Linked DNA regions of Macaca mulatta. The protein of the gene in region 1 interacts with the protein of each later gene in a biochemical or structural test. Links are inferred from orthologs where the notes say so. Each region holds a gene or a part of one and is shown on either strand. Other genes may lie near its edges. The genes, in order: APBB1 and EVL.

What was found.
Region 2: the proteins of APBB1 (region 1) and EVL form a complex in vitro, tested with the Homo sapiens proteins (2 studies listed by BioGRID). The link is inferred for Macaca mulatta from reciprocal best matches to the Homo sapiens genes APBB1 and EVL.

The regions. Positions count from the first base shown.
Region 1 is NC_133419.1:59,371,846-59,387,532, reverse strand, and holds part of APBB1 (amyloid beta precursor protein binding family B member 1), read right to left. Parts: intron 13,317-15,687; 5' UTR 13,303-13,316; coding exon 12,582-13,302; intron 8,020-12,581; exon of another isoform or gene 7,363-8,019; coding exon of another isoform or gene 7,302-7,362; intron 6,411-7,301; exon of another isoform or gene 6,380-6,410; coding exon 6,204-6,379; intron 6,105-6,203; coding exon 6,048-6,104; intron 5,965-6,047; coding exon 5,879-5,964; intron 5,769-5,878; coding exon 5,705-5,768; intron 5,261-5,704; coding exon 5,111-5,260; intron 4,748-5,110; coding exon 4,620-4,747; intron 4,230-4,619; coding exon 4,115-4,229; intron 3,971-4,114; coding exon 3,886-3,970; intron 3,613-3,885; coding exon 3,529-3,612; intron 1-3,528. UniProt on the Homo sapiens protein: Transcription coregulator that can have both coactivator and corepressor functions. Adapter protein that forms a transcriptionally active complex with the gamma-secretase-derived amyloid precursor protein (APP) intracellular domain.
Region 2 is NC_133412.1:173,393,277-173,409,063, forward strand, and holds the start of EVL (ena/VASP-like protein), read left to right. Parts: upstream 1-7,558; 5' UTR 7,559-7,646; coding exon of another isoform or gene 7,647-7,657; intron 7,658-8,457; 5' UTR 8,458-8,577; coding exon 8,578-8,636; exon of another isoform or gene 8,637-8,661; intron 8,662-15,787. UniProt on the Homo sapiens protein: Ena/VASP proteins are actin-associated proteins involved in a range of processes dependent on cytoskeleton remodeling and cell polarity such as axon guidance and lamellipodial and filopodial dynamics in migrating cells.

The DNA.
Region 1 (15,687 bases):
AGATGGGGAATACAAAACAAGAGAAGAGAATGTCCTTGAGGGACACAGACTGCAACTGAGGGAAAAGCCTCTGTCTTGACTGCCCTTTCCCCGCTGGACTGAGAAACTCCAGACTGTCATCCTTCAGGGCTCCGACTAGGTGTTCTCTAGGAAGCCATCCCTGCTGCAGGGCAGGGAGAAGACAACTCTGAGACAACTCTTACCACAACATCTTGTAACTGCTGGCAAACTTTTTTCCACACTGGGCTTTGGCCATCTCAAGAACAGAAATGGAATTTAATTAATCCCTCTGTCCCCAATTCTAACACAGCGCTTATCTGCTGAAGAAATTCCAGATGCATGAGCAAGTCACTCTCAAGGCAACATGAGCAAATGCACCCAAACTGGTAAAACCAAGTGTCACAGAAGTGGATGGGCCAGGTCATATTGCAGAGCGCTTCAAAAGCCAGGCAGAGGGGTGTGATGTTTATGACATTTAGGCCAGGGCAACTGGAAATCTCAAAGTTCAGTTGTGTGAAAGGGACATCAAAGTCAAACTGCTGAGTAGATGGGGCTGTGGGAAGTGGAGCCCGGCCTCAGAGTCTTAGGAGGTTTGGCAGGGAAGCAGTGAAAGCAGTGGAGCAAGGTATGGAAGAAGGCGGTCAGATTTGATAGCAACTCAGGACTAAAACCTACACCGTGACCTTGACCTCCAGCCCCACATGCAATCCCCCTTATCCTGGTGTGCTTTTCTTTTTTCTTTTATTTTTTTTTGTATCAGTTGTTGCCTTCTAATATACTCCATGGTTTACTCATTTTATTGTCTGTCTCTCCTTGCTAGAATGTAAGCTAAATAAAAGCAGGGATCTTTGTCACTTTTGTTCATCAATGTATGGCAAGAAGCTAGAATAGTGCCTGACACACATCAGGCACTCATTACCACTTGTTGAATGAATGAATGATTAATGAACGAATACTACAGCTTCTGGAGGGGCTAATGTTAAAAAAGGAGGTTAAAAAGGAGCATAAGATAAAGCAGGAAGTAAGTTTAGAGGCCACTTGTCCAAAAGTGTGGAGCTGATGGAGCAGTCAAGGGTCACAGGCAGTTGATCTGGCATAGGGAGGACCTGAGTCAAGTGGTAGATGCAAAGAAGCACATATGGGAGTGGGGGTAACAACCGGAAGAGCCAACAAGGGTTTAGAAGTTGAGGATGAGAAGGAGGAAAGCAAAGGCATAAGGGTCAGCATGCTTTTCTCAACTCTAGCTCCAAGTCTTTGGCAGTGCCACTGAATCCAAATGAAATATCCACTCCACTCTGCAAATCCAAGCCTTCCTTCAAAACCTCAGTTCAATCCCCACCTTTTCTAAGAAGGGTCCCCTCTTTCAATGTAAGATTTTGGACATGAAAGTCAGCACGGTATGAGGGAAAGTGCAGAGAATTAAAGATGACCGGGGTTTGACTCCTAGGTCTAGCTTTCCTGGCCATGTAATCTGAAGCTAGTCTCATTTATTCATTAATTCATTTTTTAAATTCATTCATCAAAAATCTGTTGAGTTCCTCCTATGTGTCTTTTGACATGATACGCCACCACTTCTTCAAGTAGTCTCTTTTCTTCTTCCTGCCTCTCTCCTGTTGTCACTATCATTGGCAGTTTCATCCTCCACCCATCCACTGAATGTTGGAGGGCCTCAAGGCTATGACTAGCCTCATTTCCCTTCTCACTTCAGGATGCCGACTTTCCAGGGTCAAGCTACTCTACATCCATGGCTTTGATTACCTCTACAACCCAATAATGCCAAAACTTCTATCTCCAGCCCAGACCTCTCCTCTCAGCTCCAGATCTGTGAATCTAGCTGCCAACCTGACTTTGCCTCTCAGTTTCCCCAAAGGCACCTCAAACTCAGCATGTCCAAACGTTAGCTTACAATCTCCACACTCAAATTGGCCTCTTCTAACATCTGCCACCTTGAAAGAAAGAATCCACTATCCAGAAGGTCCAACAGCCAGGAACCTAGCAGTCACCCTTAATGCCTCTGTCCCTCACCCACACTGAACCAATCACCGAGGCCTGTTGACTATACCTGTCTAAACAGCTCTGGAATCCACGAACTCCTCCTCAGCTCCACTGTTGTCCAAGATACCCTCATTATTGGCCAGGACTACTGCAACGGCCTCCTAACTGAGCTGCTCACATCCACCTCCACCCGCCTAACAGTCCCCTCCATGAAATAGCCAAAGTGAGCTTTCAAAATTCAAATCTGATTAAGGCAAGTGCACTCTTGGAGACTTCAATAACTCCTTGCTGCTCTTAGGATGAAGAAAAAATCATTAACATAATCCCTGAGATCCCTGACCTGGCAGCCTGGCCACTGCCCGGCTCTCAGCCTCATCTTGCATTGGCTTTCTTTCAGTACCTTGGAAGTGCCAAAGTGCCACCCACTGTAGATCCTGATCTTCCCCCATCCTACCCCCACCTCCATTCCACTTGACTGCATTCACTTCTATTCATTTTTTGGATTTCAGTTCAAACGTCACTTTCACAGGGAAGTCTTTTATGACCCCAGACTAGATGAAATTCCTCTGTTCTATCTTGCTACTTTCTCTCAATGAATAACTCACAATTTGTGTGATTATTTTATTAATTCCTGGTTTTTTTCTACCACAACCTTCTATAACCTCTATGAAAATGGGACTGTGGCCACTGTTCTCCCAGCGCCTAGTCCAGGGCCTGCCACATAGTAAGCTTCAAAGGTATTTGTTAAGTGAATGAACAAATAAATAGCAGATACTATGACAGCACTGAAATATAAGAGTTAACCAGATCAGGCCAGGCACAGTGGCTCAAGTCTGTAATCCCAGCACTCTCAGAAGCCGAGGTGGGCGGATCACTTGAGGTCAGGAGTTCAAGACCAGCCCTGGCCAACACAGTGAAACCCTATCTCCACTAAACATACAAAAATTAACCAGGCCTGGTGGCGGGAGCCTGTAATTCCAGCTACTCAGGAGGCTGAGGCAGGAGAATTGCTTGAACCCGGGAGGCGGAGGTTGCAGTGAGCTGAGATCATGCCACTGCACTCCAGCCTGGGGGACAGAGCAAGACTTGTCTTTAAAAAAAAAAAATTATTTGCAACAATAATATATGTGACAATTATGCTCACTGTTTCCTTCTCCTGATACTTCCAGCCCACAGCTCGTGCTGTAACACTTAACCCAGCTACAGGCTGCTGTCTGGTGTTTCCAGTCATCTAATAGCTGCCTCCCAATCCCACCAAAGCTTTTCCATGGGATGAAGGAGTGGGGTTTCCCTCTGTGCCTGGTTCAGCACGACTCACGTGGCTGATGCTCAGCGAAGGCATGCTGACTGCTGCTATAAGCAGGACAGTGAATATAGCTAGGACAGAAGTACAGGGAGGTGGGATGCATTTTAAAGGGTAGGGAGACATGAAGCATGAGGAAGGTCTGGTAGAAGAAGTATTGGAAGGCAGAGGGTAGGGGCAGAGCTTTAGGATCAAGGTAGCAGCCCCTGGGTACAGAAGGACACACATACCAACAGGTTTAGCAACAGGTACATTCCCCAGGTAATAGACTTGGAACTTCTGGACCAACTCATTCTTAGGCGCTGGGAATTCCACTATGGGAAAGAACAGAAGGTTGATCATGGTGGGAGACCTTGCTCACCCCCAGTCCCCACCAGCAGGGCATAAGCTAGACACTTGCCCAGCCGAGGTCCTACTTCCATCTCGTCCCTTGCCTCCCTTTAACCGGAGTCCCTCCACTTATTGGAGTATTCAGTCTTCATGTGTTCATTTTTCTATCAGCGCTGTCCAGGAGCTCATGCCTTTCCTTGAGTCGCCCACCTTTGCCAACAAATCTGATCTGGACCTGGAGGGGTTTTGACACTGACCTTGGAAAGGGACATCCACAAGTTTAGAGTGGTCCAGGGAGAGTCCATTCACCAAGCAGCGGGCATTACGCCGTTCGGCCATGATCTGAGGAAGGAAGGGAGGCGAGGAGCCAGGGAGAATCTATTAGAGCCTCATTGCCCTGGGGCCCCCCCACCCTACTCAGTAACCCCACCCACACCCTTGTAGAGTGAAGGTGGCAGCTAGTCCAGGGAGTGGAGGGGGCCGTGCCTTAGAGCAGATCTCATGCAGGCTGGTGGCGATGTTCTTGGCGGGTGCCTCACAGCGAAACACGTGGCACTTGAGCATCTGGGTCAGCTTATCACGAGCTACGTAGGCAAAGTCCCTGTTGGGGGAGGGGCACCTCAGTGTCTCCCAGTACCATCCAGTGCCAAGCCTGGTCCCCACCCCACCCATGTCCTCCCTGCCCGTCACAGCTCCTCCAGGGCTTCTGCCCACAGCTGGTTCCCCATAGGTGCTGTCTTCTGGAGGGAGGGTAGACAGGCAAGCATGCTGAGGTGGAAGGTAATGGTGGAGCATAGCAGGTTGGAAGGGGCAAGGCAGAAGAGGGAAGCTTGGGTGCTTCCAGGCATCTGGTCCAGGTGCAGGAGGGGGAAAATAGGCATAGTACCTCTCTCTGGGTCCAGCAGCACAAGAGAGGCAAAGAACAGAGTTAGAGAGGAGGACTCTGACGCTGGATGAACTCCCACCCTGGAATCCCAGGCCCTGTTCCCACCTTCCACTGTCCCGCCCAACGCCCCACACACGGATGCTGATGATGGGTTGGGCGTGCAGCAGTGCCTGGCTCTGTGGCTCCACTAGCTTTAGCGTCTCGTCCTCCAGCTGTAGTAGCAGATCCTTTCCCTGCAGGCCCAGAAGCAGGCACTCAGTGGGACTCCAGCCGGGATGGTAGCTGATCTCTGATCCTGCAGCTCAGGGGATGTTAGCCACAGCTCTGGGGCCCCTGCTTTGGTGTCAGACCACCCGCCCTGCAGGCCTCACTCTAGTGGAGGTCACGTGTCATCTCTCACATCGACTCCACTGTTGTTAGGCTACCATCTCGCAAGGTCCTAGCCTGGGGTCACTCATCCATCCCACAGGGCTGCCACTTACGGAGGGCCAATATGCCCCTTTCCCAGCCTGCTTGTGGGCAGGTCAGACCTCCCATCTCTCATAATTCCCTTCACACTCTCTCATAGTACCACCCCTGCTGGCTCAGGTCCTTACTTCCCCCCAGCCCCCAGACATGGGGTCATGCAGGTTGTTTTTGTGGTAAGAGAGCTGACGGATGCAATTGTTGACTGCCACACTGCTGCGTCCAGGGGCCAGCTCCTCCTCGGTCATCTCTACCCAGCCTAGGGATCGCACGGCGAAACACTGCCAGACACAGAAGAGGGGCAGGAGGCAGAGGATCGGAGTCAAAACTGGAGAGCCCTCAGCACAGGACACAGCAGAGTTCCTGAATACAGAGTATGGCAGGAGGCAGGGTGTTCTGAACTAAGACGGAGAAGCTCCCCAAACAGGATGTGGTTAGGGAGAGGGGGATGTGGTGAGGGTGAGGGAGATGTCATATGAGACCCTGGCTAGTACAAAAAAGCACCTGAACCAAGACTACGAGGGCCCCCAACCTGTCTGTTGGGCTGGTTGATTTAAAAATTGGAAGTGCCTCCAGCTCACTCACAGGGCTCTTTGCTGAGGCTGGAAGAACTCCTAACTCAGGACCTGGGGGACTGCACTGAGACCCCTCAGAGCACAATATTAGGGGCTGTCCTACACACAAGAGGGCCCTGGTCTCAGAATGGGTGTCAGTCTTGAACAAACCTTTATCCCTGGGTTGGTATTCCGTGGGGGTAGCTTCTCCTCCTCTTGGGGCAATGGCTCTGGGCTGGAGGCAGATGGTAATACTTGGCACAGGGCCCCCATAAATGGAGCTGTCCCAAGGCCCCTTCCAGACAGATCCATCCCACTGCCAACCCACTGCATCTGGCAGCTCACCTGAGGCTCTGAGCTGGGAAGGTCAATGTCCCCTCCTCAGGTTCCTTCAGTCCCAGCTCCATTGGGGCCTCATCACTGGGTTCATCCTTGGGAAGGGGATTGAGGAATCAGGATCAAAGTGATGCACCTCCTCCAGCTATCCCATGGTAAAGCAGGTCCCCTTACTCACCTTCCAAAACTCTCCATCCTCAAAGCCTTCTCCGTGAGCAAAACCTGTCCAGGTGAGCTAGGAGGAGGGAAGGGAGTAGTGAGCGAGTGTCCTATCCTACTCCAGCAGCACATACTCCCTCCTCTGGCCCAAAACCAACAGGCCTGTGAGCCTCACCTGGGACTCCTCTTGGGGGCTGCTCCCTTGTGAGGGGGAGGCCCGGCCGGGGGGTTCCCACTGGGTGGTCCCTGTTGGGATGTGCCAGTAATAGGTCCCTGAGGTGTCCTGGACCCTCATCCATCCAGCCGGCAGGTCGGAATCCGTCTCGAAGGCGTTAGGGTTCCAGAAGGAATCTGCCAGGTGGGAGGCTTGGTGAGGGTCAGCCTTCCTAAAGAGCAGACAGTTGGTGCCTATGCCCGGTCCCCTCTGAGACCCCATGGTTGAGAAGGGGTGGAGGAAAAGCTATACCACAACACAATTCCTGCTTCTGCCTAGAGCCTATAGTCTGGAGTCACCACATGTGGGGCCACCAGTAGGGGACATGGCTCAGGTCTCCTCCTGGGCCCTGTTGGTGGCTAATGTGGCCACACTGTGGAAAGGAGGAAGGCAGGGAAGGAGGAAGGAACGGAGCAAGGAAGGTTGGGTGACCCCAATTAACCTCCTTTCATACATATCTCTATCTCAGTGAACACAAAGGGGAACACTTTTTAGCTCCTGCACACATACATGTACACACAGACACACAACACATACAAGCCCTACCACACACCTGTGCAGCCACAAACACCAGGGTATGCAACACAGAAAATGCCAGCACAGATGGCAGGTATCACACACAGGTGCACATGTACGTGCATGGGCAAACATACACACCAACCTTAGCCATACACTTATGCAGACACCACAGAGGCATGCACATGCAGCTAAACATATGAGCCCCTGCCACACAGGTGTGCAGATACCATACCACAGTGGCACCTAACACATGTGTGGGTACCATACATACAGGTGGACCCACACTCAGACACACGGCATACATCAAACCCTGCCAAATGTGTGCAGACACCACAGACGCTCACTTCCTGACCCTTGCTGCACACAGTTGCAAGCAAACATGTCATGCACATACACACATACCTCGCATCTGTGTCATACACCCTTGTCTGCCGACAGAGCCACACCACTCCATCCCTGTAACCCGCTCATGCGTCCTCTAACTCTTCTTTCCCTGTCAGCCCCACCCCACATGATGCCCAACCTCGTGCTGCCCCTCACCTGGGCTAATGTCCTGCAGGATGATGGCCAGGAAAAAGTCCTGGGAGAACGTGGCGCTCATTCCCGGCCCCTCCCGCCTCCACCCTCCCTCCTCAAAGCCCCTCCAGCCCAGCCAGCTGGGGCTCACAGCCTGGTGCTGGGCTGCAGAGAAAAACTCATCCCGCCCCCTTCTCACCAGGGCAGAGCGTCTGCCAGGCAAGATCCTCCCCCGCTTGAAGCTTGCTAGGGAGGGGCCAGGACCACCATGCTAGGGAATCTCCTTGAGGGGGTGGGGAAGGGAGGAGAAAGGGAGGTTCATGAGACCCCAGCCCCTCCTGCTCACACCTCTTCTTCCTCACCCTGGCTCCCCTCCCCCAATCCTGAACCTCCATCCCACCCTCCAGTGGTTATCTCAGTGCCTAAGCCAAGCCCAGTCTTAGGGATACCAGGAGACTCGGCCCCTCAGGAATACCCCAGCTGCCTGGGGCCCTGCAGAGCCTATAGCTCTCAGCATAAATAGGGTGTGGTTTCAAGGCCTTTGGGGATCCTGCCCCTGTCCAGAACCTGCACAGCCGTTTGAACCCAAGGGTGGGCTTTGAGCTCCTGAGCCCCAGCAAGCTTGAGGCTGGGCTTGGGGCTTCCCAGCACCACCCCCCACCCCTCACCTGCCAGGGCCCAGCTAGGCTGCAGCGTCTCCTCGGCAACCGCAGCACCAGGACCGGCTGGGAGCGCCCAGACTGCTGACGTGCTTCCCGTTACCAGGGAAACCAGGAATCCTGACTGGTCCAAGAGGCAGCACTAAGGGACAGGCAGTCCCAAGACCCCAGCTGCTGGGCAACCAGACACAGCAGGGCTGGAAGTGGGCGTGGTTACTCCAAGGTGGCTGCACACCTGATGAGTTATTCAGGCAGGGTGCTTCACCATCCTCAGCTTCCAAATGACGTGGGCCCACAGACACCCAAAGAGGAGTGGCTCTTGCCCATCCACCTTCTAGGCAGCCATCACCGCCTCTCCCCGCCCCCACTTCCCCCTAACTGACACCCTATGGAATAAGGTTTTCAATAGGCACCTGAAACTTAACTGAGGCTCAGGGAATACCTGCTGTTCCCCAGAGACCCTCCATTGCCTCGGGACTCTCCTGCTAAAACCTTCCAGAAACACCACACCTAAGGCCTCCATGCCCTCCACAGCCACAGTCTGCTTCAGGAGGGCTGGACACTTCTGGAATCTGGGGACCAGTTCACCATCTCCTGACTGAGTGACACACACCAATCCATCTGCCATCCCTGACAGCCTGTACCTTCCTGCTTCAGAGAGCTTCATCCTTCCGATCTGTCCTGGAAGGGCAGCTTCTCCCCGCTTGGCCATCTGGGAGGCCCTTCTGGAGCTTGGCACATCTCCCTTCAAGCACAGCCCACCCAGGCCTTTGCTTTCACATACATGCATTTATTCCAGAACGTACACCTTCACTCCTGCATCGATTCATGCAGACACTTACACATAAAATATATTAAATGTTCACATATCATTCCTTCCTTCATTCATTCATTCATCCACAAATGCCTTTAGTGGCAAAGCCAGGTGTACTCACTTGCTCAGGAATCAGTGATTGACTTAATGCTCTCCCCTTCTCTCCACCCCACATAACTAACATAGCCCAGGCTACTAGCATTTTTTTACCTGGATCATTGCAAAAACATCATTAACTGGTCTTTCTCTTCCTGTCTGGTCTCCTCCAATCTCAGCTGCACACTACAGCCCAAATGATTCTTCTGAGATGCTAAACTAATCAAGTAATTTTCCAACTTAATCCTCTTAATTGTTTTGCACTGCCCTCAGGATAAAGTCCAAATTCCTCCCCAGGTTTTATGTGTTGTCATGAACCCCTGTCTGCCTCTCAGCCTTACCTCTGGCCACTCCCCTTCTCTCTCTTGGCTTGGGACACGCCCCTTGTCCTCTCCCAGCCCACCTCCCTTTCTCTCGATTTTCACCTGGCTATCACCTACCTCTCCTTCAGACATCAGTATACAGGTCCCTTTAAAACTGACCCATTGCCCTCTCCCCCACCACTCTCACAGGCAGGGTCAGGGGCCCCTCCTGGACTTCCCCAGCCCCAGAGAGCTCATCGCACTGATCATAACCTCCTGTTTCTTTCTTTGTCTCCTCACCAGGCTGTGAAGGCCAGGAGGGCAAAAACATCTTTGCCTCACAGTATACATTTCCAGCATTTAGGACAAGGCCTGGAGCAGAGTATGAATTCAACACAGGTAGTAAAGTTTATTCATTTATCATTCATTTAATTCATGAATTCATGCATTTATGCATTCAATCCATAGCTCTATGAATATCCTACAATAGGAAGGAGAAAATAATTTTTGCTCAATTCTAGCCTCATTTCTGCAGAAGCACAAACCTTCTCTGCAGCCCTCTTGGTCATAGCAACACAGTCATAAAAGAGTAATCAGTGACTTGGCCCCTTTCCTGGGCTGGCCCCCACCTCTATCCTCAATTCACAAAGTCTCCACCAGTGCAAGATCCTTGAGAATCCTCTCACCCCTCCAACATCCTTGCTGAGGTCACTGCCCAGCAAACCCATCCCAGCTCTTCAGCAATACTATCCTCCTATTCCTAGAAGCTTCATAGGTTATTCATAGTTGCAGCCACTACAGTGACCATCCCAGGGGCAACTGAGCAACTAGGCCTCTATCTGGTCACTGACTCATACCTCCTAGTCTTGCAAACTTGCAACCTACAACCTGCAGACTGATGCAAGCCTCAGATAGATTGTGTGTGGCCTGCACCGTGCTTTTTAAAAAATAGAATTTGTCGTTAACATTTAGAAATTGGGCTATTTTACACCAATATCTAGTTTTCAGTTTCCCTTTAACTGGCTGCATTGAGACTACATTTTTCCTCACCCCAATACCACAAGTAATCAGCTGGAGTGCAGGAGGGGCTGTTCCTTTTAAAAGGAGTTGAGGCAATGACTGCCAAAGGCCACTAACATCATGAAAAGAGAGGCAATCAGACTTTGCCTTTGGTAGAAGTATTTAAAATACCACCTATGAAATATGCTTGCAAAAGCAAAACACAAAAATGCTCAAATCTGAATCTGATCAAGGCTCTAGAACTAACTACCAATTTACAGGAAATCCAGGGGAAGAGGAGCATGGTAAATACCACCACAGGAGAGAGTCTGAAAAATCCAGACCATAGAAAACCCAGGACAAACAACATGATTCTTCAGTTAAAAAACAAAAGCAAAACTGCAAGCAAAAAACAAATAGACAGGGGGAACTTGATCAAACGAAACTTTAAGAGATGGATCAGGCCAGACATGGTGGCTCACGCCTGTAAGCCTCGTGCTTTGGGAAGCCAAGGTAGGAGGATTGTTTGAGAACAGGAGCTCACAACCAGCCTGGGCAACATAGTGAGACACTGTCTCTACTTTTTTTTTTTTTTTTTTTTTTTTGAGATGGAGTCTCACTCTTATTGCCCAGGCTGGAGTGTAATGGCTCAATCTCGGCTCACCATGACCTCCGCCTCCCATGTTCAAGTGACTCTCCTGCCTCAGCCTCCCGAGTAGCTGGGATTACAGGCGCCTGCCACCATGCCCAGCTAATTTTGTATTTTTAGTAGAGATGGGGTTTCACCATGTTGGCCAGGCTGGTTGTGAACTCCTGGGCTCAAGCAATCCGCCCACCTGAGCCTTCCAAAGTGCTGGGATTACAGGTGTGAGCCACTGTGCCCAGCCTCAATCCAGCCTTTTTAAAAACATAAATATCAACTGGATATTTAATGATACTAAGAGATTATTATTAAATTTCTGTAGGTACACTGATATTATGGTGGGTTTTTCTTAAGAGTTTTATCTTTCAGAAATGCAAAAGTAAACTTTGTTGTTGTTGTTGAAAAAGGGTCTCTGCCATCCAGGCTGGAGTGCAGTGGCACAACCATGGCTCACTGTAGCCTCGACTTTCTCGGGCTCGGGTGATCCTCTCAGGTCAGTCACCTGAGGAGCTGAGACCACAGCTGCTGATGCCACCACTCCCAGCTAACTTCTTTGTATTTTTTATAGAGGCGGGGTTTTGCCATGTTGCCCAGGTTGGTCCTGAACTCTTGGGCTTAAGCAATCTGACCATTTTAGCCTTCCAATATGCTGGGTTACAGGTGTGAGCCACTGCACCCAGCTGTAAACATTTATAAATAAAAGTATTTGCTTCAGAATAACCTACGCTGGGCCTAGGAATGGAAGACAGCATGTAGGTAGCAAGATTAGTTATGTATTGATAATTGGTAAAACTGGGTCATGGGTAAATCAGGCTCATTATTCTTTTCTCTCTACTTTTGTATATGTTTGAAAATGTCCAGAATGAGTTTTTCGAACGGGGATGGTGTGCAGCCCTAGGCTCATTTGAACTGCATGTTCTCTACAAAGATTGCACAGTTTGGGGTATGGGTATGGTGTTCGCTGCCTGGTGAAGATGGGGATCTTTCCTAATCTTTCTTAGACCCCCATCTACAGAACTCCAGGGTTGTGACTATAGCCCATTATCTCCATCCTTTGTTCCTCAGCTTTTCCTGTATTCTCTACATGACATTAGAAAATGTGGAGACTCAGCTGATTTAAATGGGACATATTTAATTATTAAGCCCTGGAATCCTAGTATCTACTCTCCTCCCCCTACCCAAAGCGTTTTCTTTTCTAACTTTTAGTCAATATCCTACTCCTGACAGCAGCTCCCCACAGACGTGACCTGTTAAAACGGGGCAGACTGTCCCAAGTGCACCTAAGTGCACTGTGCTCTGTGCTGTGGTGGCAGTGTAACACAGGGCCAAGAGCTCAGACCTGGACTCAGACCTGGTCTAGATCTCAGCTCTATTGTAATCTCAGCCTGTCTGTGGTCTTGAGAAAGCTACTAAACCTCTCTGGGTCTCTTTTTTGTTATCTGTAATATGGGGATAATCATAGTATTTACCTCACAGCTTTACTGTGAGGATAAAGCCTGAAAATGCTGAGTAGAGGGCCAGTTACCTAGTCAGTGCCCAGTAAACAAACTAGTCCACTTACCAACCATGGTGGCATGCATAATGAACAGATCTATCCATCCAGGCATGCATGATGGTCAGATCTACCAGAATGTCCAAGCACTCTCTGAACGAGAAAGCCTGGACATGGCCTGCTGTGGCCTCAGGACATGGGCTTTCAGCTCACATCAGGCTGGCACTGGCCTCTATATGAGAGGCCTAACCTCTGCCCTCACACCCTCCCACATGCCCATGTCAAGCTCCACAAGGTACCTGTGTCCTCTGGGGAGCCATAGGAGGGGCTGCCCTGGGATAAGGTAGCCCAGCTTGAGTCCTCGTCACTGGCTGCACTGTTCCGCATGCCAAACAGCAGGCTGGCACTCTTGCTGTGTTCCCGGGGGCCATCTGTAAGGGCTTGGGGCCTGGGAGGGGCCTCCACACTCTCCAGGGTCTCAGGCAGCCCTGGGGGAGAAGATAAGTCCTCCTCCTCCTCTTCATCATCATCCTCCTCCTCCTCCTCCTCAGCCTCCCCTGCCGCCTTCTCCTCTCCCTCATCTGGCCCCTGCTCTTGAGTGCTGATGATCAGGCCAGGTCCTCGTAGGCCTCGGTTGGCCGCGTTGTGGGCTGAGAGCTCCAGCTCAGAGTACAGGTGTATCAGGCCTTTGGGGCCCAAGGGTGCCATCTCAGGCTCCTGGCTGGCCTCCTCCGCCAAGGTCAAGGTCACATTGCGGTTCTGGTCACGGTGGGCCGTGGCGGCCCGCCGGAGTTGGTTCTGGCCCTCTTTTAGCCACTTGGCATTGGCAGGGCCTGGTTCAGGCCCACCACCCTCCCCCATGGCGCTACGCAGGTCCTTGGGTCCCACAGCTGTGGCCTGCAGCTTGGCGTTGAGTAGCTGGTTATGGGCAGCGTGCAGAGGCAGGGGTAGGCTCAGTGTGGGGCCTCCGTGGCTGTTGGCATTAATGGCCGACTGGCTCAGTGATGATGGAACAGACATGGCCTTGGCAGCTCCTGTGGGGTGGGGAAGGGAGATGCTGTTGAGCCTCTGGTCCAGAACAGCAGCATCACTGCTTCTGCCCCAGGGCTACGCCCTGTGCCTCCTCATCTCCCTGCACTAAGCAGGCTAGCACCCATGGCTCTCTATCCTATGAGAATGACTGGGCTCATCTTCTGTCCCAGCACTATCGTCCCCATCACAGGCCAGGCCCAGGTCTGAGGCTCAACCCATCCCTATATCCCCTGCCCTGAGCTTTCTGGGATGGCACAGCTGGTGCCTGCTCCGCCCTCGATCCCACCAGCAGGGCCTCCACACAATGGCTCTCTGTGCCTCCCCACCCCCCAGCTCATCCACCCGGGGCTTACTGTGCCAGGAACACCACTAGAGTGGGACTGGCTCGTGTGTTTTGGACACTGATCACTGACTGCCCCTCTCCTGCTGCACTTCCATCCCAAGCCCCACCACTGTAAGCTCCTCCGGCTGTGTTCCTATTCCCATAAGTCACTCAGCTCAACCAGCCCCCAAGCCCACCCCATACTAGGGACTGTGAGGACAGGAGGAAATAAGCTGCAGAACCAGCCCTACAGGGCATGGCACAGGAAGGCAGGTCACAGAGGGAGGGTGCTCGGTTGCAATTCACGGCTCCGCTGGCCAGATGAAGCTACATCTTGGTGACAATTTCCATGAAGTAGCTCCCCTTGGGCACCGGTCCCTCTGCCAGCCCTTATAATGCCCTGTCCTGGATCACTATGGGAGCCTTTCCCCTGGGCCCTTCAGCCTTTCAGATCTTTGCTTTTTGGGGTTTTTGTTTGTTTGTTTTTGTTTTTGAGATGGAGTCTTGCTTTTGTCACCCAGGCTGGAGTGCAATGGCAGGATCTCAGCTCACTGCAACCTCTGCCTCCCGGGTTCAAGTGATTCTCCTGCCTCAGCCTCCTGAGTAGCTGTGATTACAGGTGCCGACCACAACGCCCAGCTAATTTGGTATTTTCAGTAGAGATGGGGTTTCACCATGTTGGTCAGGCTGATCTCAAACTCTGACCTCATGATCTGCCCACCTCGGCCTCCCAAAGTGCTGGGATTACACGCGTGCACCACTGCGCCCGGCCCAGCCTTTCAGATCTTTGACCAAATGTCACAGCCTCAGTGAAGCCTTCCCTGAACACCCATTTTAAAACCACAGGCTACCTCAGTCCCTCCTCAGCAATCCCTAACTCTTCCCCAGCGCCTGTCACCATCTGACAAGCCAATTTGTTATTTACTTTGTCTAATGATTGTCTCCTCAAGACTACAATTTATAATCTCCGTGTTGGTGAGGATTTTGCCTTTTTGGTTAAATACAGTATGCCTAGTGCCTAGTGTAGTCTTGGCACAGAGCAGGACCTCTATTAATATTTGTTGAATGAATGTATGAATCAGTCCCCATTTCCTCCAGGCTTCGCTTTGGCCTCTCCTCTGCCAGTGTCAGAAAACACTTTGGTTATGTTACTGAGCCTCATGGTGCCCCACACAAACTCCACCTGCCTTTCAGGGAAGTGGACGCCCTGTTCTACAAGGCCAGCTCCCCTCCCGACACCTCCCTCTGCCTCCTCACAGCCCTTTGTGGCTCAGCTTCTCGCAACCGTTTCAGTCCCAACTATCCTTCCAGCCTGCCACCCAGGGACCCACCCTTGGCCCCATTCCATCCTCCCCACTCTCCCTGACCTTCCAGCTGCTCTGCTGCTCTCCTTCCCGGACCCCCACAAGAAAGTGCTCTTTCCCTGGAACCTTACCGGCCCCCGATTTCAGTTATTTCTCCCTAACCAACCACTGCCCACTTCTCTCTCATCCTTATCCCTCCATGCAAGCCGTCCTTCAGACAGCCCCTACCACATTACTCTCTCCTCCTTCGATGGCCTCACTGATTCTCTCTTCCTACCCGACCCTTCCACCAACACACAATTCTCCCTCACTGACTGTCCCAACAAACACTGCACTGCGCTCTTTCTAATTCCCACTGTACAGACCTTTCTCCTTGATGTCTTATCTGAGAGTTCCCTATCTCTCTGTTCCTCCACTAAGGAGTTCTTTCTTTCCCCGACTCCCCACTACCTCCCTTCCCTCTGTGTCCTCAGCACTGAGCAGAGGTGTTGCTTTGCAGCTGCCTGAGCAAGGCTTGCCCATCTCTCCAGGCGCAGTGCGCCCAGGCTGGAGTGCAATGGCATGGTCTTAGCTCACTGCAACCTCTGCCTCCTGGGTTCAAGTGATTCTCCTGCCTCAGCCTCCTGGGTAGCTGGGATTACAGGTGCCCACCACCACGCCCAGCTAATTTCTGTATTTTTTTTTTTTTTTTTTTTTTTTTAGTAGAGATAGGGTTTCACCATGTTGGCCAGGCTGGTCTCGAACTCC
Region 2 (15,787 bases), on another chromosome or scaffold:
AGAGCTGAACCTGAACTGTGAGTGAACTGGGAAGGAAAAGGCACTTTAGCGTCTTGTGGCTGGCTGAGCTTTTTTAGTGTGAACTTTTTAAAGAAATGTCTCTCAGGCAAAGTAGTTGAGAATAATAGAATCTCTGGCAGATCCAATTTCCATTTTGGTTTTTGGAGTGATAGTTGAGGTTCCAGGAGTCAACTAATGATAGCACATATAAAATATTATATTTTAAAAGCCTACTGCAGCATTGTTAATAGGATTTCATAATCCTTTGTACATAATCCTTTGTACTCAAAACACCCTGCCTTCTTAACACAAATTCTCATGAAATGTCAGTATTATACAAACATAATTCATTTCTGGTTAGTGAAGGACCCTTTCATTCACAAACATCCCAATGAGAAAGAAAGAGAGGTGAGATTAGTCTGTTTACAGAAAAGAAAACTAAAACCCACAGAAGAAAGTTGACTTTCCCAAGTCACCACAGCAAGTTTTTGAACTAGATCTCCTAAGTAGAGTATCTTCTAGTATAGCTCTATGATTTATTTTCAGCCCACTCTGCTTTCTGTTGGGGTCTGGATACATGGAAAGCACATCTTTTAATTCAAGTCAACACAGTTGTTGTTTATTGAGCATTTACTGTGTTCAAAATCCAAAGCCAAATGCCTTAGGATTTAATATCAATATCCTGTATGAGTTGATGCCCTTCTTCCTCATTAATTAATTAATTTATTCGTCCATGCATAGTTATTCATACAATCACCACTTACACTGTACCTGCTACCTAAGCAGTATACCAGGTGCTGAGTGCAATTCATGGTGTCACATTATAAGATGCTACCTTAAACAGGATATGTTTCTTAACTTGCTCACTAAATTGCTTCACAAGTGTCAGCAGTTTCTATTCCATCTTTCCAACATTTTCTGTTGCCCTGACATGGTCGATTTAGGAATTGGTACCATACCTGTAGTACATAGTTATTTATAAGATCATTTTTTTCCATCGGACCTGGAGACACCAGGGTCAAAGTAGAGACCTGAATGCCCAGGAACGTACAGCATGTCAATAACAAAGCAAGGGCTGGAATCCCTGTCTCATAGCACCCTGCTCAGAAAGCTTGCCACATTTTTTGCTGCTTTTCATAATTCTTCTCAATGCTTTATTAAAGCTAGATGATAGAGTTAAAATAATAGCCCCAGAAGGTTCACTCTTACGTGTTACCTACCTAGTGAAACCGATAAAAGGTAGTAGTAACATGTGAAGGACAGAGGAAACGAGGGGTGAAACTGAAAGACACTTCTCACAGAGAAGATGTTTACTCTTAGGCTAGCATCTTCAGAAAATGAGAAAGAATACCCTTTTGTAGTTTAATAATCATAATTGACTTCTGCTTCTGGCCATGGCAGAATAATGGTAATGACTTGCTCTCTTGACAGAAACAACTACGAAACTGTGTAAAATATGTGAAGCAACTGAATATAAAAAGGGTACTGAGATTCATGGAAGATATTAAATCCCTGCCATTTTCAGACTTTGGACAGACAGGATAGGACTTTGATTCTTGAGAGAGGAAACGCCATGAGAAGCCCCTGGCTTTCTGCCTGCAGTTACCATCTAGTCTCGGCATGGAGTGGTGGAGCCCAAATGGAAGGGTGATTTTAGTCAGCTCGGGGCAGACATTAGAATTCTATGCCACTGAAATAGTTGGAGTTTGCAGGGCAAGGAACTAGAGAAATGGAAGCCCTGTGATGGGGCAAAGACAGCAGAGTTCTTTGTAAGGATTCTAGTTGGATTGTTGGCTGAGAGCTGGGTGTGCATGTGCAGAGTGAGACTCTTCATGAGGCCTGGCAGAGATCACCGGCTGTAGGGCTAAGAACCCAATGATGATGCCAGAGGTCATTCAGTTCTGGGAGATGTTGCAGATCCAGCTTAACCTGAATGAAGAAACTTCCCTGAACACCTCAGGCATTCAGTTGAGATCCCAGAACGTCACACCTTAGAAGTAGGACTGTGCTCTTGAGTCAGATGCGGGTGGGGGGTGGGGGGTGGAGTTGGGGGGTTGTTTAGGGGAGGCACACCCCTAAGGCTAAATTCAAAATGGAAATAGAACTGAAGAAAGGTTTGAGCCAAGCTTGGTAGCACCAAAAGGATCTGCCAGTAATCTCCCTGACTACCAGAACAGACTTTACATCTTTAAAGAAAGATAGCATAATCCAGACTTTCTGCAATGTATCATACTGTATCTAACATACAATCATAAGTTAGTGGACATACAGAGTCAGAAAATGTGACATATACTTAAGGGGAAGAAAGCAGTCAGTAGACCCTGAAATGCTCCTGAAGTTGGAACAAACAGGCAAGTTCTTCAAGTTACCCATAATAAATATGTTCACAGACTTTAATAAAAGGTGGATAAAGTGAACAAACAGGAAATCCCAACAGAGAAATGGAAATTATAAAAAACTTGCCCATTGAAAATTCTACTACTGGAAATGAAATGAAAAATTTACTGGATGAGACTAAAAGTGGATCAGAGGTCCAGAAGAAAGGGTAGTGGACTTGGAGATGGATCAATAGATATCTAGTCTGAAAAATGGGAAAATATTTTAAAAAGAATTACCAGTGCCTTGTGATAATATCAGGAGGTCTACATACATGTACTTGGAGTGCCAGAGGAAGAGGAGAAAGAGAATGAGGCAGAAGAAAAATAATTGAGGAAATAATGACTAAAATTTCCCAAATTTGGTGAAAAACCTTAAATTACATACCTAAGAATCTCAATGAAACCCTAGCAAAATCAATGCAAAAAGAACCACACCTAAACCCATCACAGTCACACTGCTGAAAACGAAAGAAAAAGAAAATATTAAAAATGACCAAAGGAAAAGGGATCCATTACGTACATTGTATGTGAATGATGGCTGACTTCTCAGAAACCGTGGAGGCCAGAAGACAGTGAAACAATACCTTTAAAGTGCTGAAAGACAAAAAAACCCTCAGTATTCTCTATTCGCAAAAAGTGCTTTGAGGCTTGAAGACAAAGATGTTTTTCAGATAAAAGAAAAGTAAGAGAATTTTATTGCCAACTTACCTGTTGTACAAAAAATGCTCAAGGAGGCCGGGCACAGTAGCTCACGCCTATAATCCCAGCCCTTTGGGAGGCCGAGGTGAGCGAATCCCTTGAATCCAGGAGTTTGAGACCAGCCAGGGCAACATGGTGAAACCGTTCTCTACTAAAAATACAAAAATTAGCCAGGCATGGTGGCGCATACCTTTAGACCCAGCTACTCAGACGGCAGGAGGCAGGAGAATCATTTGAGCCTGGGAGGCAGAGGTTTCAGTGAGCCGAGATCACACCACACCAGTGTACTCCAGCTTGGGTGACAGAGCAAGACCCTGTCTCAAAAAAACAAAAAGAAATTCTAAAGGAAGTTCCTCAGGCTGAAAAAAAAAAAAAAAAAAACAAAAACAAAAACAGGAAATTCAGATGTTCAGGGATGGATAAAGATTACTGGAAAAGAGAAATATATGAGTAAACATAAAGACTTTTATTTCTTCAATACACACACACATATGTACACACACATGACTCTTGAACAATCCAGGGGTTAGGGTGCTGGCCCCTCACACAGTTAAAAATCCACCTAAAACTTGCATCCCCTAAAATTTAACTGTTAAGAGCCTATTGTTGACAGGAAGCCTTACCAATAACATAAGCAGTTGGTTAATACATACTTTGTTATTATATGTATTACACACTGTATTCTTATAATTAAGCTAGGGAAAAATTTTATTAAAATCATAAGTGAAAATATATTTTAATTAGTTTCACTAGTAATTAATTGGAAATGGATTATCTTAAAGTTCTTCATCTTTGTCATCTTCACACTGAGTAGGCTGAGGAGGAAGAGGAAAAGGAGGGGTTGGTCTTGCTGTCTCAGGTGTGGCGGAGGTAGAAGAAATTTCATGTGCAAGTGGACCTGGGTCAGGCGTGGTGGTAGCTCATGCCTGTAGTCCTAGCACTTTGGGAGGCTGAGATGGGAGGATTGCTTGAGCCCAGGAGGTTGAGGCTGCAGTGAGCTGTGATTGCACCACTATACTCTGGCCTATGCAACAGAGCGAGACCACATCTCAAAAAAAGTAGTAGTATAATGGACCTATGAAGGTCAAACCTGTGCTGTTCAAGGGTCAGCTGTATATATATATATATATATATATATATATATATATATATATATATATATGATTGTCTAAAACAAAAATATATAACATTATATTTTGAGTATGTAACACATATGACAGCTACACCATAAAGGGTGGGAGTGGAGAATGAAATTAAGCAATTATGAAGTTCTTAACATTTTACTGAAGTGGTACAATATTAACTCAGTGTACTTTATAAAGTTAAGAATGTATATTGTAATCCCTAGAAAGACCTGTAAAAAAATAGAGGTATAGCTAAAAAGTCAACAGAGAAATTCAGATGAAATTCTGAAAAGTATTTAGTTTACCCACAAGAATACAGGAAACGAAGAACAGAGGAACCAGAAACAGACGAGACAAACAGAAAACAAATAGCAAAGTAGTAGACCTATATCCATCTGTATCAATAAGCTAAATGTAAATAAACTAAATACCCCAATTAAAAGATAGAAATTGTCAGACTGGGTGAAAATGCAAGACTCAATCATACACTATCTATAGGACAAAGATACAAATCAACTGAAGGTGAAAGGATGTGTAGTAGGCAGAGTAATGCCATCACCCTGCCCTAATCCCTAGAACCTGTGACTCTGTGACTTTACATGGGATGGGCATGGTAGCTCATGCCTGTAATCCTAGCACTTTGGGGGCCAAGGCAGGAGGATCACTTGAGACCAGGAGTTTGAGACCAGCCTCAGAAACATAGCAAGACCCCATCTCTATTTAAAAAAATGTTTTTAAATTAGCCAGGCATGGTGGTGTGTGCCTATAGTCCTAACTACTCAGGAAGCTGAGATAGGAGGGTCACTTGAGCCAGGAGTTTGAGGCTGCAGTGAACTATGATCACACCCCACTGCATTCCAGCCTGGGTGACAGCGATAGACCCTGTCTCTAAAAAAGTAAATAAATAAAATATTACCTTACGTGGCAAAAACGACTCTGGAGATGTGATTAAAGTTGTGGACCTTGAGATGGAGTGGTTATCTTGGATTATCCATTGGGTCCAGTCTAGTCACATGAGTCCTTAAAAGTAGAGAACCTGTCCACACCGTGGTCAGAAAGACATGTCGCTGTGGAAGAAGGGTCGGAGCAATGCTGCGTGCTTTGAAAGCGGACAGAGGGGCTATGAGAAAGCAATGCAGGCAGTGTCTAGAAGCTGAGAAAGGTGAGCAAGAGAGACCCATGTGGGACTTCTGATGATGTTGGGCTTCTTACCTCCTATGATCTTACAAAACTCTTAAGATAGTAAGTGTGTGTGTTATAAGCCACTCAGTTTGTGGTAATTTGTTACAGCAGTGCAGAAAACCAATGTGGCATGGAAAAATGTACCTAATAAGAGCTTCAAAACCCATGAAATAAAGAGTGACAGAATTAAAGAGGGAAATCCAGTCACAGTTGGAGATTTCAGGACCTTTCCCTCAGCAGTTGATAGAATAATTAGACAAAAACAAACAACAGCAACAAAAAGTAACAAGGACATAGACGTTCTGAACAGTACTATTAACCACCATGACCTAATTGACATTTTAGAACACTGCACCCGACCAGTTTCAGAATACACATTCTTTCCTTGTGCGTATGCTGCATCCGCCAAGGTAGACTGCATGCTGGGCCATAACGCACATTTTGATAAATGTGAAAGGATTGAGATCATACCAGGAAAAACAAAGGAAGAAGTCACACCAAATATGTTCTCTGAGCCCAGTAGAATTAAATTGGAAATAAGTAGCGACACATATAGGAAAACACCAAATATTTCAAAATTTAACAAAGCACTTATCAATAATCTATGGATAAAAGAAGAAATCACTAGAGAAAATTAAAAATATTTTGAACCAAAAGAAAAAAGAAAACTGCAATACATCCAAATTGTGGTTTGCAACTAAAACAGTGCTTAAAGGGAAATGTATATCATTAAAAGCCTCTTAAAAATGCATTTTTAGCATTCAAAGTGCATTCATCTCTGCAATTAGAACTGATACTTCTTTTGTACTGTACTCTGTACAACTATTTTTCACTATATCAATATTTTAATGGATCTATTAAATATTTGCTAACATTATCAAGCCATGGCCACAAGGTGAGTACTGGAACCAATACAGGGAACAGAGGGATGTCAAGAGGAAACCTAGAACCTTAATGGTGAATGGGCTATAGAAATCATCTCAGGTCCCCTTAGTATACTGATCGAGAAATCCATGACCAGAGGGCAGAATTCTTCTTTCCTAAGCCATAAAAGTCCTTTAAGGACCAGTACGGTCGTTCTGAATTTTTTGTCTGTGATTTCTAACACAGTGCATGCTTCTTAGTGAGTTCTCAGTAGATTTTGAAAGAAAGATTGAACTGGATTTTATCTTCATGAGAACCCTGTTGGAGATAGGCAAAGTAAGTATAACTAACCCCATTTTACAGTTGAGGCCACCCATTTAATGAACAAGTGACAAAGCCAAGTTCTCAGTGTTCCTCAAATGTTTTCCTTTCAGGCTCTAAATTGCTGACTTAAATGTCCTCATTAGAGAGAGCTGTCTGCTCGGTAGAAGTACAAATTTTGTTCCAGAGTCAAATATTAAGACTTGATCGGCGGCCTGGCATGGTGGCTCATGCCTGTAATCCCAGCACTTTGGGAAGCCGAGGCAGGCGGATCACCTGAGGTCGGGAGTTTGAGACCAGCCTGACCAACATGGAGAAACCCTGTCTCTACTAAAAACACAAAATTACCTGGGCATGGTGGCACATGCCTATAATCCCAGCTACTCAGGAGGCTGAGGCAGGAGAATCGCTTGAACCTTGGAGGCGGTGGTTGCGGTGAGCCAAGATCGTGCCATTGCACTCCAGCCTGGGCGATGGGAGTGAAATTCTGTCTCAAAAAAAAAAGATCAGCTTATAGTCTTTATCATCTAGTCTTCTATTCTCTGGAGAGTCAGCGGGGACTCTTGCGAGTTCTTGTAGCCTTTTCTTAAGGCCTATAGGAAGTCGTCTGTGCTGAGCCTGCACTTTCTATAACAGATGGAAAACCGAGGCCCAGACCTCTTAAATGGCATTGACTTAGACAGACTATAGAGCTAGTTCGTCGGGGGCCAGCACCACGACCTGGCCCCTACCTCCAGCAGGCATCACCCACCCTTGCACCCTTGCAGGAAGTGCTTAGAGGCTTGAGGTTGCCAGCCGTGGAGGTGTCAGGCCTGTGAAGTGCCTCTCAGCCACCCACGCTGGTAGGGCTCTGCACTGCTAGCTTCTTGTTTCTCTATTTTCTACCTAGGTTTCAGTTTTTCACTTGGGTTTGTTTCCCCTTTGTCTCTGGTTCAGCTTCCTTTTCCTGTTTGGTTTTAAGTAGTCTATAAAAATCAAGTTGCTGTCTTCAGAGAGTCTGTGGTCCTCTGATCAGCATAGCCCAGTGGGAGTACCGGACTCACCTCCTCAGGGTTCCCTGTGCTGCCACTTTTCAGCCATGGCCACAAGGTGAGTACTGAAACCAATACAGGGAACAGAGGGATGTCAAGAGGAAACCTAGAATCTTACTGGTGAATGGGCTGTGGAAATCATCTCATGACCCCTCAGTATACTGATCAAGAAATCCATGACCAGAGGGCAGGGGACTTACATGAGGTTACACAGCACGTTGGTGACAATCTGCTCACTCTCCAGCCGCTGGTCTTTCCATTACACAGGCCTGTGTCTCTTGATGCCTGTGACCCTTAATGGCTTCTGGATGAAGGATTTACTCAGAAATTAGCCCCTACCTCAGATTATAGGGAGGAGGGTCTGAGCCATCTAGGGGATTGTTGTTTAGCTCAGAGGTACATTTTGATGAGTCCTGGCTCTTCTCTCTAGAATGACCTGAGACTGGTTGTTTTATCTAAATATAGACAGAGAGAGTTATTTTTATTATAGGAACTTCATGAACTTAATAGCAAGAATCCTGACCCTCCACTTGTGAGACTTGTGACCTTAGGCTGTTGCTGTTTAGCACATGTGTGAGTGCCAGCCAGTCTACAAACTGCACTCCTCATTGAGATTGTTCTTTCTAAAGGGGAGATTACATGTTGGACCTGCCTCTCCCCTGCCATACAACTCTGAAAGATTATAGATGATAGGACAGACAGACTTTTAACCTGTGGGGTTTGGGGCATTTGTTTGGTTGACTCATGACAGCTTTGTTTTTTAGCATAAAGTAATGGTCCCTCACTTTGAAAATTATTTCACAATTTTCAAAGTGCCATTTCACCAGTTTTCTTATTTGAATCTTTTAATCGTGTTAGATCGATGAGAACGCCGTCATCACTCCTGTTTCATAGCTGAGAAAACCTCTGAAAAGTTGTGGGGCTTGTCCGAGGTCACATGGCAGGTGGAGGAAGGAATGGAACCAGGGTTTAACAAGGATGGCCTCGTCCGGTGGTTTTCGCAGCACGCTACACAGGCTCTTGAGAAGCAGTTTGCAGTGAGTTGTTAAAATTGACATGGTGGTAGGTAGAACTTGTCCAGGGCTGCTTATTTTCCAGTGGGCTTTATTTCTGCTCCTATCATTTTAGTAACTTTCTTTTAACTTTAGAGGACTTGTGAATGGAACTTCTGAAAACAGAATACTTTTCATTTCAAAGGCATATCAACTTCCAAAGTCATTTTTAGTTGTAAATTACATTGTGAAAAATTCCAGCAGCTTATTCTACCCTGCCAATTACTAATTGCAGAAAATTATATCAGAAGTAAATGGGGAGGAGGCACATCAATCTCTTTTTCAGTTTTAAAATCGTAGAAATCTAGAAGTTTCCATCTTGAAAAGACCTTGGAGATGATCTACAGTAGTTTACCTAGGTTAGTGGTGCTTTGGGCATCTTATCCTCTACTTCAGCCAAAATAACTCTACTTTTGTCTTTTTTTTTTTTTTTTTTTTGAGATGGAGTCTCACTCTGTCACCCAGGCTGGAGTGCAGTGGCCGGATCTCAGCTCACTGCAAGCTCCGCCTCCCGGGTTCACACCATTCTCCGGCCTCAGCCTCCCGAGTAGCTGGGACTACAGGCGCCCGCCGCCTCGCCCAGCTAGTTTTTTGCATTTTTTAGTAGAGACGGGGTTTCACCGTGGTAGCCAGGATGGTCTCGATCTCCTGCCCTCGTGATCTGCCCGTCTCGGCCTCCCAAAGTGCTGGGATTACAGGCTTGAGTACTTTTGTCTTTTTAATGTATTCCTTGATAATTAATTGAGGGAAAAAAAGTCATATTGTTGGTGGTGGTGATGATTTTCAAGTCTGAAGATTACACTAATCTAGTCCAGCTCCTGAGTGCACAGATCAGGAAATTGAGGCCCAGTGTGGAGCAGAGTTTGTCTACGGGGAGCAGAGTAGTGGCTGAACCAAAGCAAAAGCCCAGGTTTTCTGGAGCATCCCTTCCCCGTACAAGGCTGCTTGTACTCTGCCACAGGTCCCTGGCCTGGCCCCGTAGTGACAGTCCTGGTGGAAGCAGCGTTCATGGAGCTGCAAGGTCAGCAGCCATAGGAGCTGTGAACTTTTTGTTTTTCCTCATGCTGACTGACATATGGGGATACCACGGCGCCTGTGGTGGGGATACAAAGGGCCTTTTTAATGTGCAAATATATCTTACTAGCTCTAGCTCTGACTACTCACCAATCAAGAAACGTTTTCCAAGCCCTAACTGGATTAGGAGCTAGGAATTTTCTTGAGTGCATGACAACGTACAGAATGCTTTCACTGACATTATTTTATTTAATTACTGCAATAATCCTGAAGGTAGCATTGTGGGGTGTTTTTGTTTTTGTATTTTTTAGAGATGAGGTCTTGCCATATTGCCCAGGCTGGCCTCAAACTCCCAAGCTCGAGCAAGCCTCCTGCCTCAGTGGGACTACAGGTGTGGGCCACCACACCCAGCTAGCATTGTTTTTATTGTTTCTGTTTCATAGAAGGAGAGAGTAACTTGACAAGAGACATAGCCAGTGAGTGATAGACCCAGGACTTGAACCTGTGCCTCCTGACCACAGATGCTTTGCCCTTTTGCTCTTACGCCTGAGTTGGAGCGGCCTCTGTCTTCAGGGACTGGTCGGGAGTGAGGAAGGCAGCACTCACAGAAATGAGGAGGCGACTCGCTGTAAGGACCCTGTAGCATAGACAGTAATAAGCATAAACAGGAGGGGCAGTAAGAGTTGAGAAGTTGGGGACTGTCAGGGAAGACCTTAAAGAGAAAGTGGGATCTCAGGTGAACTTTGAAGGATAGGAATGATTTTTTAGAAGGCACTGGCAGGCGTCGCAGGCAGCCAGTCACCCAGTGGCTGCTCTGGGTGCTAGGGACACAATGGTAAACAAGACAGGCAGGCTTGTCCTCCAACTGAGGGCAGAGTAGGGAGGCAGAATATAGTCAAGAAACCATCAATAGAGATGTGAAAACAGTGGAGCAGCGTGGTAGAGAATGACGGGGCCACTGCCTTAGCCAGTGCCCTCTATGGGGACATGAGGCAGCCATGTAAAATCTGAAGACTTTGGGGTGGAAGGGGCAGCAGGTATCCTCAGATGGGGACGAGGCCCTGAAATAGGAACAGTTTGTTGGGTTCAAAGGTCAAGAAAAATACAGAGGCTGGAGCAACATGAAGAAGGAAGAGTGAAGGCAAATAAGGGCCCAGGCTTTATCAGGCCCTACGGCAAAGCCTGCGAGCTGTGCTGAATTTAGCGCATATGTCAGAATTTAGTTAGGGGAAGCCTTTGGAGGAAGGGTTCGAAGCAAAGGGAAAGACATCCAACAGACGCTTAAGAAAATCGCTCTGGCACCTGTGTGGATAATGGCTGGCAGTGTGGCAAGAATAGAAGCAGGAAGACCTCTTGGGAGGCTACCACAGTCATCCGGGTAAGAGATGAGGGTGATTTGGGCCAGCAGTGGAGCAGTCAGGGTAGCTGGTGAGAAGTCACCAGATTTAGGAAGTGCCGTGGTGCTGTAGCCTCCAGGACTATCTGGTGGATCACATGTGGGTGTGGGGGAAACATGAGTCAGACATGTCTTAGGTGGGTGGTGATTCCTTTCACCATGCTGGGGCAGCTGGGGTGCTAGCTGGAAGAATCTGTAGAGGTGTGGGCCTAGCAGAACAGGTTCCCAGGAAATGTGGGTTGAACAAGGCTGACCTGAGCAGGAACTAGCTGAGATCGCGGTGCAGCAGCAGGAAATGTGATATGGATGTGTGATATGTCTGCCACTTTTGGGGCCAGCCAGTTAATTTCATTTCCTTCACTGGTCTCTCTGTTGTCCTTGGTAGGCTGTGGGTTTTTTCTAAAGCATGTACTATCTTCTAACATATTATAGAAGGTATTTGTTTTACTGTGTACTGTCTGTCTTTACCCCTCTAGAATGTAAACTCCCAGAAGGCAGGGATTTTTGCCTGTTTTGTTCACTGGTGTATTCCCAATGCCTAAAACATTGCCTGGCAGTACACATTTATTGAACTGCTGGATTTAATTAACTACTTCGATATATGGTCCTGGAGATTCCTGTGCTACCAAAGCTGCTACTCGGTGGAGCTTCCTGGTGTGGCATGTTAGAGAAGAGACCAGACAAACAGACATTTCACTTGCTGTCAGGTAGTGAAGGAACTGTGGCTGCCTGGGCACAATCATTACTGTTTATTCCACTGTGCTGCACATCTTGAAGCTGTAAAGATGTAAGAAGTCTCGCACAGCCAGGGTTCACCTTACAATCCTTCCCACCCAGTTGTACGCCTTTGTGTCAGGGTTTGGAGGAGTCTCCAGGAACACCTAGTGTTTCCAGTCCTCACAGGCAAATGAGAGAGTCCCAGAGGCAATTGAACAAGCCCTCAGAGATCACGTGGTCTGTTCACTCTCCATGGGAACACACACTTCCCTAAAGACCTGTAGCCAAATCATTTGGAGAGCTTCTGATGCTTCTCTGCCTTCCTCTGTCTCAAAGAATCCCATGTGCCTCTAGTTGGGAAACATTCCTCTAGAGATTCTAGGTTATTCTCATTAGAGTGTTAAGATACTCAGGTGGGCTGGGGCAGAAAATGGATGAGAACTAGTCTAGTCCAATGGCTTCACTTTGGTAACTGAACCCACAGAAGAGGAAAATAACAGCTCAGCTTTTCTGAGTGTTATAAACCAATCATTATGCTAGTTACATGATATACATACTATTTAATTCTCACCCTTTGAGGTTTTGTATCACTATTCCCACTTTACAGATAAGAAAACAAGGGTTGACCAGGCATTGTGGCTCACACCTATAATCCCAGCACTTTGAGAGGCCAACGCAGGAGGATCGCCTGAGCTCAGGAGTTCAAGACCAGCCTCAGTATCGTAGTGATCTACAAAAAAAAAAAAAAAAAGAAAAAAAAAATGAAAATTAGCCAGGTGTGGTAGTGCATGCCTGAAGCCTATAGTCCCAACTTCTCAGGAGGCTGAGGTGGGAGGATTGCTTGAGCCCAGCAGTTCAAGCCTGCAGTGAGCTATGATCACACTACTGCACTCCAGCCTGTGACAGAGCAAGACCCTACCTCAAAAAGAAAAGAAAACAAGGGCCTACAAAGTAACGTATTCCAGGTCACATTGTTGTCACTTGGCAGAGCTTTTGATCTCTGAGAGGATCAAAATCTGCGCTCTCAACTTTAACTTCTCAAAGCTAAACTCGTCTCAGTTTGCAGAGTCAAGGCTAGAATCGAGGCCCTCCTGATCTCTATTTTGCAGTCTCCATCATTCTGCGCTGTTAATACCACAGGAGACAAAAGAGACCTCGTCCGTCCTGTAGCACCCCGTGCCTGCGTGCATATCTCTTGTCGATGCTCTGTCGGCTCAGGATCTCTCCTACCAGCCTAGAGCTCTTTCAGAGCAGGACGCTTGTGTTATGCATTCATGTTTGTCTCTGTGCCTAGTAAATAACACGGAGTCCAAGTGGCTGCTCTGTCGTCTGGGGTGTTTGTAAGGGCAGAGCCAGGGTCTTCGTTCCCAGGCTGTTAATTCATCCTTGGAGCTGGACATACTGTCCCAATCCTTGGCCCAAGCCAGGCCTCTACTGTTGTCCCAAGGCTGTGCTAAAACCTCTTCTACTTCACAAGTGATCAGAGTCACAGACTCTGGGGACACAAATTTTGGGATGAAGACACAGAGCAACCTATATAAATGTTTCTGAGGTTTGAGTAGCCTTAACGTCCACGTGACTGTCAGATGCTCCCCAAAGAAAGGGCTACGTCGGTGACCTTGAAAGAGTGTGGGAGATGCGTCTGAGACAGGGGCAGTCTAGGAATATCAGACTCCCCAGCAGTTGGTTGGAGTGTTTTTCCAGATTGCACCAGACTTCACAGAGAAATGGAGACCCGCTGTTCAGGCATCTCTTGAGAGGGTGGCATCCAAGGAGAAAAGGCAAACATCTTGATTGCCCGCGACGTGGGCAACCAATTTGGACAGAAAAGAAGGTGTCAGGGTTTAACACTGAATGTAGACTTTATTTACCCAAAGCCTTTCTTTAATTCTAACACTCTCAAAAATGGGGCTCAGTCACCATTTGGGTTTCCCATGTTAATACACAGAGAGCGAATTCATTGTCTTTCATTGCTGTAATGCAGCAGTTCTCAAAACGTACTCCAGACGTTGACCCTCCAAGGAGTCTGTAGGTCAGAACTATATTTATAATATTACTAAGACATCATTTGCCATTTCAGCTCTTGTCTCATGAATGCATGGTGGAATTTTCCAGAGCTATGTGATGTTTTGACATCATCACTGTGGCAGCTAATGAAATGTCTGCTTGTATATTCTTGTGTTTTAAAAAAGTATTAGTTTTAATTTCAAATAAGGTGAATATGGATAGACTTAACCTATATAAAACAGAAGCTTTTTGGCATCCTCAATAATTGAGTGTAAAAGGGTTCTCTGACCAAAAAAGTTTGAGAACCATGTATGTAAAATAGTCAGTTGTATGGCTGTACTGCAGACAGCATGCATGGAATTGAAAACACCACCTGCAAGGTGGCAGTTCCCCCTGGTCCAGAGGAGGAGCTCTGGGTCTGGGAGGAGGATGCAGGCGTCACTAAAGGCGAACTAAACAGCTTTAGGACTTGCTGTCAGATTTCCTAGACTGCGTGGTGGGACCGTGGGAACTTACTTCTCACAGGCCTGAAATACTTCACAATAAACATTTTAAGTCTACTTCATAACATGAAACCTGTTTCACATCTGTGCCCATTAAGAAAAAAATGGCACCCTATAAGTGAGTTAATAATTACCAAGGGGAAAATATAGCTTTCCATTGGAGATCTGGCAGTCACCTCTTAATCAACCTACAGTCTACTTTTAGTTGGCCTGAATTCTTCACACACACAACATCTTTGTCAATGAAAAAATTTTAAATAGTTTCACATTCTAGCTTAGCTTGAAAGAGAGTAAGCAGACGGCTCAACCAAATGTAATCCATGAGCAGATCCTGCATCCCAAAAAAATCTAACATTTTGTAAAAATTGGGTAACTTTTTGTTGTTGTTGTTGAGTCGGAGTCTCCCTCTGTTGCCCAGGCTGGAGTGCATTGGAGCTATCTCCGCTCATTGCAACCTACACCTCTCTATGCCTCCCGGGTTCAAGCAGTTCTCCTGCCTCAGCCTCCCGAGTAGCTGGGACTACAGGCGTTTGCCACTACACCCACCTAATTTTTGTATTTTTAGTAGAGACGGGGTTTCACCATATTGGCCAGGCTGATCTCGAACTCTTGACCTCAGGTGATCCACCCACCTGGGCCTCCCAAAGTTTTGGGATTACATGGGTAACTTTTAATAGGACTCTGTATTAGATTTTTAGTAAATTGTTGATTTTCTTTGTTGTGACAATGGTATTTACGTTATATATTAGAATATCCTTATTTTAAAGAAATGTATGCTAAAGTCCCTAGGATTGAAGTATCATGATAGCTGCAGCTGACTTTCAGATGGCTCAGGGGAAAGGCAGAGATAACTCATATGCGGCAAATGTTAACCACGGGCATGTTTAGTGAAAGGTACAAGAGTGTCCCTTGTATATTCCTGTAGGTTTGAAATTTTTCAGAGTAAAAAGGTGGAGTGAAAAACAGCTTCAAAATAGTAAAAGCTGGATTCGGGTTTTGCTGCGTCGCCAAGTGGAGCAGAAAAGCCTTACTGCGCGACAGAACGTCAGGTTGCTGTCTAGTCCAGGCTCTGCCGTGGATCAGCCATGGGTGTCGGGCAAGTTACTTCCTTCTCTAGGCCTGTTTCCTAAGAAAATCACTGCAGAATGTTTTTCAGCTCTGATGAGACTGTGATTCCAAGCGTCTCTGTTTCTCAGTCCCTGAATTGGGACATGGCAACGTGGGTGTGCTTCCTCATTCCCCTGGGTAGGTGTTGAGAAGTGATGAGGCCCCAGGGTGATGACTGAGGTCCCCCCACCCACCACTCTGCCTTTGCTGACACTCTTCCCTCTGCTTGAAATGGTTCCTTGTTTCCTTTTGAAAAGTCTTGCTTCCCCTTCATGACAGCATCCCTTGGGTCCCTCAGGCAGAGCTAAATGCCCTCCTCTTGTGACACTTTGCACGTACAGCACTTTTTCTTTTTTCTATTCTTTTTTTTTTTTTTTTTTTTTTTGGAGACA